Linked DNA regions of Danio rerio. The protein of the gene in region 2 purifies or fractionates together with the protein of the main gene of each other region. This does not show direct contact. Links are inferred from orthologs where the notes say so. Each region holds a gene or a part of one and is shown on either strand. Other genes may lie near its edges.

Region 1 (3,572 bases), on a different chromosome or scaffold from region 2:
AAGTTCATTTGATTCAACTTAAAAAGTTAAATCAGCAAGATTTTTTAGTGTACTAAAACATTTATTAAAATATGTTCACTAATTGGTGATGCAGTGGCACAGTAGGGAGTGCTGTCGCTCACAGCAAGAAGGTTGCTGGTTCGAGCCTCGGCTGGGTCAGTTGGTGTTTCTGTGTGGAGTTTGCATGTTCTCTCTGTGTTCGCGTGGGTTTCCTCCGCATACTCTGGTTTCCCCCACAGTCCAAAGACATGCGTTGCAGGTAAATTGGGTAGGCTAAATTGTCCGAACTGTTTGAGTGTGAATGAGAGTGTATGGATGTTTCCCAGAGATGAGTTGCCGTTGAAAGGGCAGCTGCTGTGTAAAACACGTGCTTGATAAGTTGGCGGTTCATTCCACTGTGGCGACCCTGGATTAATAAAGGGACTAAGCCGACAAGAAAATGAATGATAAATGAATGTTTATTAATTGTACGTATAAAAGACAACTTAAATGTTAAAAGATCAACTAAGTATAAATAAGATTAAATAAAAATGTAAAGTTGAAGTGCAAAAAAAGCTTACATGAAGCTAAATAGAAATTGAAAACATTAAAGAATATTAAATAATTTATATATAAATTATAATATATATTAAATAAAAATAAAAAAACTACTAAAAATGTGAATGGGCGGCACGGAGGCTCAGTGGTTTGAGTTCTGGCTAGGTCAGTTGGCATTTCTGTGTGTAGTTTGCATGTTCTCCCCGTGTTGGTGTGGGTTTCCTCTGGGTGCTCCTGTTTCCCCCACAGTCCAAGCACATGTGCTATAGGTGAATTGGCCACTAAATTGGCCATAATGTCTGAGTGTATGAACGTGAGAGTGTATGGGTGTTTCCCAGCTCTGGGCTGCGGCTGGAAGGGCATCCGCTGTGTAAAACATATGCTGGAATAGTTGGCGGTTCATTCCGCTGTAGCAACCCCTGGTAAATAAGGGACTAAGCTGAAGGAAAATTAATGATTGAATAAATGAATGAACGAATGAATATACATTCATTCATTCATTCATTTTCTTGTCGGCTTAGTCCCTTTATTAATTCGGGGTCGCCACAGAGGAATGAACCGCCAACTTATCCAGCAATTTTGTTTTGCGCAGCGGATGCCGCTCCAGCTGCAACTCATCTCTGGGAAACATCCACACACACACACTCATACACTACGGACAACTTGGCCTACCCAATGCACCTGTACCGCATGTCTTTGGACTGTGGGGGAAACCGGAGCACCCGGAGGAAACCCACGCGAAAGAAGGGAGAACATGCAAACTCCACACAGAAATGTCAACTGAGCCGAGGTTCGAACCAGTGACCTTCTTGCTGTGAGGCGACAGCACTACCTATTGTGCCACTGCCTCGCCTGAATAAACATAAATTAACTAAAAATAAAAAATGTAAAAAAAGGCAGTTTCGTATACCATGTGAACAGACAAAAGTAATCAGATCAAGACTCTTCTTGAATTTTGATTTCAATCAAATGTAGAGTCCTGGTTTGAGTTAATCTGAACATGAAAAGGAAGCACACATGTACTTGTGTGGAAGTAAACAGATCTACAGTATAGCATGTACTGTAAATATACTGTAAATACAAGTGTGTTTGCATTATTGTTCCAGGTGGTTGGGAAGGATCTGCAACCTTCAAGCTGATCTTTAGCGCTGGAGGAGCGATCGAGTTTGGTCAGCGCATGTTACATGTGGCAGAGCAGGGTACGTTTGTGCTCAACCAGTTTCAAAATAAGAGTCTCATCATTAAGCAGTCAAACTGATGTGGATGTGCATGACCTCTCTTTCTTTACCTCAGCATCCAGAGGGCAACCGGTGACTGTAAACTTCGGCTGTCCTTACATGGCGAACGGTGCGTACGCTTTTCCTCCACCTCCTCCTGCTAACGGCATGTATCCTGCCGGGCCTCCTCCACCTGGATACGCCTACCCTGGACCTCCACCTCCAGGTAATAACATGCACTTAAAGTCCACATCAACTGGAAGCTGCGACCGTTTTTCTTTCAAATTGTGACGCAGTTCCTAGAAAAACAGAATATTAAACGAGCAAACAGTGGGCGTGGCTTGTTTTTTCTTCTGCGATCTGATTGGATGTAGAAAAATTGGTGTTTCATTCTGAAAGATGGTGAAAAGAGTTTGGGGAGCATTATTACAACCTCACAGTCTCCTCCTTACCATGTTATTTTGTGTGCTTTAGGTGGGTTTTACCCCAGTCCTCCTGTGTTTGATGGACCAGCAGCCTACATGCCTCCTCCTCCATACACTGCTCCAGTGGATCATGCTCCGCTCGACCCAGACCTGCCCAGAACCGCTGCTGGTATGACCCACTTCTAGAAGATGCTGAACTTCTGCAGCCGGATTCTTAAAGGGATAGTTCACGCAAAAAAAGAAATTTGTTTACCATTTATTTGCACTCAAGTGGCTCTAAAGCTGGAATTATACTTGTGCCTGGCGCCGCATCGCGCACCTTTGCTGACTGCGTGCGCACCTCGCAAAACGGATGAGGCTTTTATACTCGCCGCGTTCGCCGTTGTGATAATCTTTAAAACGACAGGGGCGGTCAAAAGAAACCCACCCTAAAATCAGACGAATAAACAGAGAAGTTTCTGGAAGTACGTCATATCATAATGTCGTTCAATATTTTTAAACTAATTATTTTGTATTGTTTTTATAAAGTATTTTAATGATTATAAGCATTTTTATAACCATTTAAGTCTTTTTTAATCAAACTTTAATGCATCACTTGCTTTTGTCCATAACTCGGACAGTTTTACTTTTTAAAGCTTCACAAGAGAACATGAGTTCCTCTACAAATATATCTTTATTATGGCAAGAATAAAAGCAAAAAATAAAAAGTACACTTACTAAAAAAATACAGATTTATTTTTTTTTGGATTTAGCCCGATCCATAAACATACGTTAGTGTAAAAGCTATGACTGATGGAAAAACATATTCTGTAATTGTATACCTGAGTCTTCAATTTTGCCATGATTTCTTTCGGCATAAACAAACTTATCCCTCAGGTTTTTCCAATTTTTTTAGCATAAACTTTCCTCCTTTCCCACTGCTGTTGTTATTTCTAGCAAATTATTATTGGTCATCACTTGCTTTTGTTTATATCTCGAACAGTTATACCTATTACAATTTATTAAAATATTAATGACAACAGAACTTGAGTCGCTCTACAAATAAATGTTTTATTATCGCAAAAATAAAAGCAAAAAAAAAGCACACTGACTAAAAAATACAGATGTTACACAAAAATACACAATTCACACATTACTGTCTGGCTAGTTTCTGTCCTCTACTTATGCTAAAAAGGAAATGATGGTCCAACATTCCTGACCATTATCACCAGTAAAGCCCAGAGAAGCAGGCCATCAGTATATCTATTCCTTTCCAGTTATCAAAAATAATTTTATGACTTCATCATAGTTTTGTAACTATTAAATAGTTTTTAATACAAAATTAAACTAAATACATGCGTGTAAAAACCTATGACTGGTGGAAAAACATTCTGTAATTGTGTACATTTTGTCA
Region 2 (3,572 bases):
TTATTTAATTTATGTTTTATTTTGTTTGTTGATTTTTAAATTGTATATTTATTGTTGAAAGATTCCTGCCATGAAAATAGCCTTGGTTGCTGACATGGCACTAAATAAAAAATACATTACATTACATTACATCCTGCCAAACTGAAAGAAATAGGATTTTTACTAGAAATAAAAATATAATGGCAAATACTGTGGAAAAAAAAATCCTAGCTCTGTTGGAAAATATTTGAAATAAAATAATTTTAACCTTTAAAATGGGTTTAAAACTATTAAAAACTGCTTAAATTTTAGCCGGGAAAAAAAAACAATTAAGACTTTCTTCAGAAGAAAAAAACATTATAGGAAATACTGTGAAAAATTCCTGAATCTGTTCAACATCATTTGGGAAACATTTGAAGAAATTCACACGACAATGAATAACTTTGACTCAAGCTATAGTTTTTTTTCCATGTCTCTCCAGTATAATTTTTTTTATACTATTTTATTGATATAATCTGACTTTATTGATGTCTCTTTCCCTCTTGTCCTCAGTCACATCAACAAGCGTAAGACGTATTTCGACCCTCGGCAGGCCTTCACTGTAGAGGACATGCAGGTGAAGCCTAAACGCTACGACGGAAACACCGGCGCTCTGGAGATCCTGCATGGCCAGGACCTGTCCGACAAGGTCATCATCGTCACCGGAGCCAACTCTGGCATCGGTCAGTGTCACAAAACACATATTCATTTAGCAGATACTCTCATCCAGATCAAGATAAAAGAAGAACTGCAGATCACCAGACAGCAGAAATATGTAGTATTACAAACAAGCAGGACGAAACGCACACAGACACAAGCATTCACAAAGAGGCTGAGCTGTGCTTCAGGGTTTGTCCAGCAGGTGGAGCTGCAGGATTGAGGATTTTCACTCCTTGAGTTCTAATCAGTCAGTCAGGGATCAGGTCTATAGATGTGGATGATTATTATTGCAGGTATATTTAACGTGTAAAAATGCTGCTTTTGTGGTGAATTTTATTTCTTAAACTGTGTGACCGCTGTTGATTCACATGTGTTTTGTATAGTTTGTCTTTCCAGGGTGTCCGCTGGGTCTTAAAGTATTGAAAGTTGATCAATTAATCATGAGAAAATTAAGGCTGTTAAAAGATATAAAGTCTTGATTGTGTTTTTACGAGGTCTTAAATTTTGTTCAAGCGTTGTCCAAAGTGCTTGACTCTTGGAAAAGTGTAGGTGGTGGATTAACATTCAGCACATGATCACTAGTAAGATGTCTCATTATTTGTAACTAGATGGTTTCTAAAACTAAACCTGACATTGTTATCTTCATTCATGCACTCGCAGAAATGCTCCCAAATATATTTTAAGGTGGCATAGATAAAATTTCGGGCGCATGTGCGACCAAAATTGTCGCAATTTCGAGCCCTGATATATATATATATATATATATATATATATATATATATATATATATATATATATATATATATATTCGTTTTAAGGTAATTTAATTAGTCACTTATAATATACTTGCTTTAAATACTGCACAGAAAGCCAACAGTTCTGCATGAACCAATTCAGAGAAGCAGAGTTATATATTTTGCAGAAGAACTCAGTGCATGTGTTTAATTCATGACAATATACGGTTTAAAATAGGAAAAGCAGATTAATTAAAAAGGTATATATTTTTAGGTTTTGTTTGTTCAGGTAATTAGCATGTTAACTCAGTTTTTCAAGTAAATTGCACTGCACATTCTTAAAAATCTGTCTTGAATATAAATGTTAAGAAATTACCTCTAGTTTGTATGAACTGTGGTGTCGTTAATTTAAAGAAATGTTTTTTTTTTGAGACGTGCATTGTTTAAAACTTAAGTGTTTTTAATGATTGACGTAAAGAATTTCATGTTTAATTTCTATTGTATGCATTCAGATTACTGTGGATTGTTAGTGGAGTCAAGTAATCAGTAATTAAGTTTTCAGACATGGCAATTAGAAAAGTGATTTAAATGCAATTTTAATGATGTTATTATACAGTTTTAAAACAAACTTGCTCAACACTGACCGGTCAATGCAGAAACGCTGGCTGTAGTGTCTCTGAGCGTTCGCTAGAGGGCAGAGGAGCGCTGTGTGTCGAAAATAATAAATAATAAATAAATAAATGCATGAGAAAAAAAACACAAACTGTCCCTCTAATATCGCTGAACACACCAATAGAAGCGCTTTATCCTATGACAAACATTGCAAATATTTCACAAAATTATTTAAACATTAATCGGCATTGAGTTACTTTAGTTAACTTATTTATTTTAGTTTTTTGTTGCCTTATAATACATTAAAAAAAAAACTCTTAATTTTTTTTTTTTTACATTTCAGTCAAACAAGATGTTTTGGTTTGGTTTTAAAAAATAACACTTAAATTATACGTGTGTGTGTGTGTGTGCATCTAAAAAAAAATATAAATTAAATTACGCCATATTTCATGCTTATTAGTGTCGATTTCTAATACATATCATTGTTTCCCAAGCATGTGCAGTGCAAAAAAACTGACTTTATTTGAAATATCGAGGTAACATCCTAAATATCTGAATAACATTTTTCCTTTATTATTTTAAATTACTCTGCTTGTCTGAATCTAAACCTTATATTATTGTTATTTAATTGTGCATTTTATTTTAAATAAACCATAGTGTATATATATGCAACAATAAACAAACGTTTATATCAATAATTCTATTAACATAAGCGATGTGTTATTTGTAATGTTTTAAAACTCATTTCATGCATTTATGAGTTGTGCACGGTGCTGTACGAGTAAAATAAACACCAACAAAAAGGGAAAAACATCACTAAAATCATAATTCAACCTACAAAATTTCAAAAGGAAATAAGATTTCAACTTCGTTTTAAGCTTGTTGACAGATATTGTAGATATGGAGGAAGCATATTAATTATGTTTTAATATTCATTCATTAATTTTCCTTCAGCTTCAGTAGTTCGTATTCCAACATATGTTTTACCCAGTGGATGCACTTCCAGCTGCAACCCAGTACTGGAAAATACCCATACACACTCATTCTCACACACTGTTTCTCAATTCCGAGAACGGACTTGCGTTCTTGTGGAGAGCGGTCTTGCCAGATGTCCTCGGAAGAATGAACACGGGAGATCACGAGAACGCATCCTGTGAGAAATGAGATGCTGCGTTCTTCCTGATGGTCACATGACCTTCACATATTTTTAATGGAAAATTATTTAAACATTACAGCCTTCATTAAACGATTGATTGTTTTTCCCCTTTTCACAATATATACTGTGCATAAAACATTATAAATATACTCCGCACAATATAAATAAAACTGATTTTAATACAAATTTCAGCAAACAAACAACCTTAATGTGTTTATTGCTTTATTAAGATGTTTATGCTGATGTTCATATTCACCGTTTCATTGAGGGGGAAACTTCAGAGATATGACTGATTTACCTCAGGACTTTAAATTAAATGCTGCGCTTCCCACCACCCAGTGACTTCTGGGACTTCTAGAGCGTGTTCGGTGCTCAAGTCGGCTTCGGTGTGT
Region 3 (3,572 bases), on a different chromosome or scaffold from region 2:
TGAATTTCATTCTTGCTTCCAAAACATGTTCCACATCAAACTGCTTTACAAAGTTTGCTCAATGTCCTCCAAAGTAGCGTTTGAACGCTGTCTGTACACACTGCAGGCCTCTAGCTGATTGGCTTCAGCTGTGATCGACTCTCCTGCAGTGCAGTGGCTAGAATGGCCTATAGGTGGCAGCAGATCAGCCAGCAAGAACACAGCAAAAACAATATAAGATAAATAAGACATTACGGTCACTAATGCAGGGCTCTGACAGTAACTATCTCTGAAGAAATGAGGTAAAAACCCACAGAAACAATGTGATATATGTTTGCTAATACAAATGTTGTATAAAACATTCACAAAATCTGGCACATGTCTGTGTAACCTCACTATTGCTGGATAAAAATAAAACCCTTCAATAGTTCAGAACTGATTGAGATGGTGAGTGAGTACCCTCTGTATTCATGTTGATTTAATCAATATTTCTGAAACAGGATCATCAAATACAAAGAATAAATAAGACAACAACAATACAATAACTTAATATATTATTGTGTATTCAGTGTTGCACAGATTCTCTAACATGCCTCTGGTGCCCACAATGTGCATCCGTTAATAAATTAGGACACACACACCATTAATATAGTTTGATAAAGTAAATAATTACAATTAAATACACTACTATAATATTCCGAAGGTGGCGACGCAGTGGCTCAGTAGGTAGTGCTGTGGCCTCACAGCAAGAAGGTCTCTGGTTCGAGCCTCGGCTGGGTTAGTGGGTGTTTCTGTGTAGAGTTTGCATGTTCTCTCTGTGTTGGCGTGTGTTTCCTCTGGGTGCTCAAACCAGCGACCTTCTTGCTGTGAGGCCACAGTGCCGCCCCTATGCCTTGTTCTATTTGTCAATTTTAATGCGGCCATGCTCCGTCAGTGTAGAGAGTGTTGCTGTAAATATCAGACGGTCACGCTCATTACACTAAAGGGCAGAAACTTTGAAGCTCTTCTGCTAATGAGGAGCTTTAATTACAGACCTTCAGTGGTTAATGAAGCCGTGTTCACCTTGAGGACGTTCACAGCACCACAAACCGACCTGCTCCACCAAAACACGTCAGATCAGCTCACAATCTCATCATTACTTCTCATTTTGTGAGAACATGAACAAAACAGGAAATAACTTGAGTAAATATATTGACCGAGAAGTCTGAGAGATGTTTTGAAGAATGTTCCTGCTGCACCTTATGAAGCATTTAATGAATGAGGGCCGCAAATGAGAATCACAGCAAGCTGAATAAAACAGGACTGAATGTATTTAATCCAGCTTCATCAGCTCATCTGGAGCGCTGCCAGAAGTCTGTTTGTAGAGGATAATATTATAATAACACGTTAGAATAACCAGCACGTGATGATTCATTTATAGCAATTTACAATTGTGTGTGTGTGTGCGCGCGTGTGTGTGTGTGTGTGTGTAGATGCCGCTCATATGAGGACTGCTGTGGAACCCGCTGCTGCATCAGGGCTCTCTCCATACAGAGACTCTGGTACTTCTGGTAGGATCAACTTTTATTAAATAATTCATTAAATGTATTAGATATTTATAAATTTTCCTGCATTAACTACATCTCCTACATTTATTACAGTGGAATAATCTGAGAAGTGGTCAGCAAACGGTTCATTTTACTCAGAAATACATCAGTTTTTAATCTGTGTGTGATTAAATTATTATTAAAATGTCAAATGTAACATTTTAAAGCAGAAATATGGAAAATATGTACTTGAATTAGTGGTGGGCGTGTCCTTCATGACTGCTGCTCTCTGATAGGCTGCTGCTGATGATGGGCGTGTTCTTCTGCTGCAGCGCTGGATTCTTCATTCGCAGGCGCATGTATCCGTCAGTGCTGAGCGACGAGCCCGCCTTCAATGTGTCCTTCACCAGACAACCCGTCAGCACACCTGGTGCCAACACACACACACACACATACTAAACACACACTCAACAAACACTCAACACACATTAAACACCATTCAGATGCTTATTCGGACATTTGAATGTGAAAATAAGGTTGCTAGAAGAGATACAGCAGCGGCCAGAAGTTAATGAGAATTATTGATATTATCTATTAAATTACCCAGTAAATTGTATTTTATTAACGTCTACTCCAACAGGAAGGAGGGTAGAAGGGAATAGAGAAGGAGGCAAGTAGGTAGAGAAGGAGGCAGGAAGGCAGTGAGGGAGGGAGGTGGGGAGGAAGGTAAGGAGGTAGATAGGTAGGGTGGGAGGGAGGTAAGAAGGTAGATAGGTAGGTAGGGAGGGAGATTGGTAAGAAGAGAGGGAGGTAGGTAGGTAAAGAGGGAGGTGGGTAGGTAGGTAAGAAGGGAGAGAGGGAGGTAAGGTATGTAGGGAGGGAGGTAAGGAGGGAGTGAGGTAGGTAAGGAGGGACTGAGGGAGGGAGGTAGGTAAGGAGGGAGAGAGGGAGGTAAGGAGGGAGGGAGGTAGGGAAGGATGGAGGTGAAGAGGGAGGGATAAAGGGAGAAAAAAGGGGGAGGGAGGAATAAAGCTAGAGAAGTTGGAAAGTAGTGAGCTTGACAAACCACTTCTCTAAACCCCAACCCTCCCATTCTCTGCCTTCTTTACCCTACCTTCCTCCCTACTTCCCTACCTTCCTCCCTACTTCCCTACCTTCCTCCCTACTTCCCTACCTTCCTGCCTACTTGCCTCCCTTCTGCCCACATTCCCTCCCTTCCTACGTTTCTACCTCCCTCCTTCACTTCCTACCTTTCTCCCTCCTTTCCTACCTCCCTTCCTCCCCCCTACCTTCCTCCTTCCTTCACTCCCTCTTTCCTCTCTCCTCCGCTACCTTCCTCCCCTTCCTACCTTTCTCCCTCCTTCCCTACCTCCCTCACTCCCTACCTTCCTCTCTCCTATCTTCCTCCACCCCCTCCTTTCTCTCTCCTCCGCTACCTTTCTTCCCTCCCTACCTTCCTCCCTCCTTTGCTACCTACCTTCTTATTGTCCTTCCATATCTTTCTCCTACTCTAGCACCCTCCCTACCTTCCTCCCTCTTTCTCTTTGTTCCTCCCACCTTATCTCCCTTCCTCCTTACCTTCCTCTCCTCTTCCCTCCTCCACTACCTTCCTCCCTCCCTCCTTACCATCCTCTCTCCTTCCCGCCTCCTCTACCGTCTCTACCTTGCATGGATAATGTTGAAGTGTACTCACAGTTCTGCAGTGCTTCGTCTTGCATTAATAAGCTGTTCCTCCTCCTCCAGTGTCTCAGCAGCCAGTGATGCAGGGTTTTGGGGAACCCTGCGTTGGGATGGGGGCGTCTCTGACTCCCGTGTACTCCGGCCAGAGCCCTGCGGCGGCCATGATGAGCTCGTACCCTCCACCGCCGTCATACTGCAACCACCCGCCGCCAGCCTATGATCAGCTGTTCAGTAGCGCAGAGAAGAAGAGCCGCAGCGAGTCTCCGCAGTGAGAAACCACGCTGAAACACCTGCAGGACACACTGCAACATTACAGAGAGGACTTACACTCAGTTCATCTGTGCAAATATGAGGAAATGCATGGCCAAGCTTGAGAAACGGGTCTGA

Evidence for each region. The genes of interacting proteins can lie anywhere in the genome.
Region 1: the proteins of wwox (region 2) and wbp2 purify together in Homo sapiens (affinity purification with mass spectrometry; 3 studies listed by BioGRID and IntAct, with this or other methods). This does not show direct contact. The link is inferred for Danio rerio from reciprocal best matches to the Homo sapiens genes WWOX and WBP2.
Region 3: the proteins of wwox (region 2) and vopp1b purify together in Homo sapiens (affinity purification with mass spectrometry; 3 studies listed by BioGRID and IntAct, with this or other methods). This does not show direct contact. The link is inferred for Danio rerio from reciprocal best matches to the Homo sapiens genes WWOX and VOPP1.

Annotation. Positions count from the first base shown.
Region 1 is NC_133187.1:47,462,580-47,466,151, forward strand, and holds part of wbp2 (WW domain-binding protein 2), read left to right. Parts: intron 1-1,643; coding exon 1,644-1,736; intron 1,737-1,825; exon of another isoform or gene 1,826-1,830; coding exon 1,831-1,980; exon of another isoform or gene 1,981-2,053; intron 2,054-2,206; exon of another isoform or gene 2,207-2,228; coding exon 2,229-2,348; exon of another isoform or gene 2,349-3,572. UniProt on the Homo sapiens protein: Acts as a transcriptional coactivator of estrogen and progesterone receptors (ESR1 and PGR) upon hormone activation. In presence of estrogen, binds to ESR1-responsive promoters. Synergizes with YAP1 to enhance PGR activity.
Region 2 is NC_133200.1:39,782,530-39,786,101, reverse strand, and holds part of wwox (WW domain-containing oxidoreductase), read left to right. Parts: intron 1-531; coding exon 532-701; intron 702-3,572. UniProt on the Homo sapiens protein: Putative oxidoreductase. Acts as a tumor suppressor and plays a role in apoptosis. Required for normal bone development. May function synergistically with p53/TP53 to control genotoxic stress-induced cell death.
Region 3 is NC_133199.1:273,626-277,197, reverse strand, and holds part of vopp1b (WW domain binding protein VOPP1), read left to right. Parts: exon of another isoform or gene 1-167; intron 168-1,451; coding exon 1,452-1,529; intron 1,530-1,754; exon of another isoform or gene 1,755-1,801; coding exon 1,802-1,935; intron 1,936-3,248; coding exon 3,249-3,457; 3' UTR 3,458-3,572. UniProt on the Homo sapiens protein: Increases the transcriptional activity of NFKB1 by facilitating its nuclear translocation, DNA-binding and associated apoptotic response, when overexpressed. May sequester WWOX in lysosomal vesicles and thereby regulate WWOX role as tumor suppressor.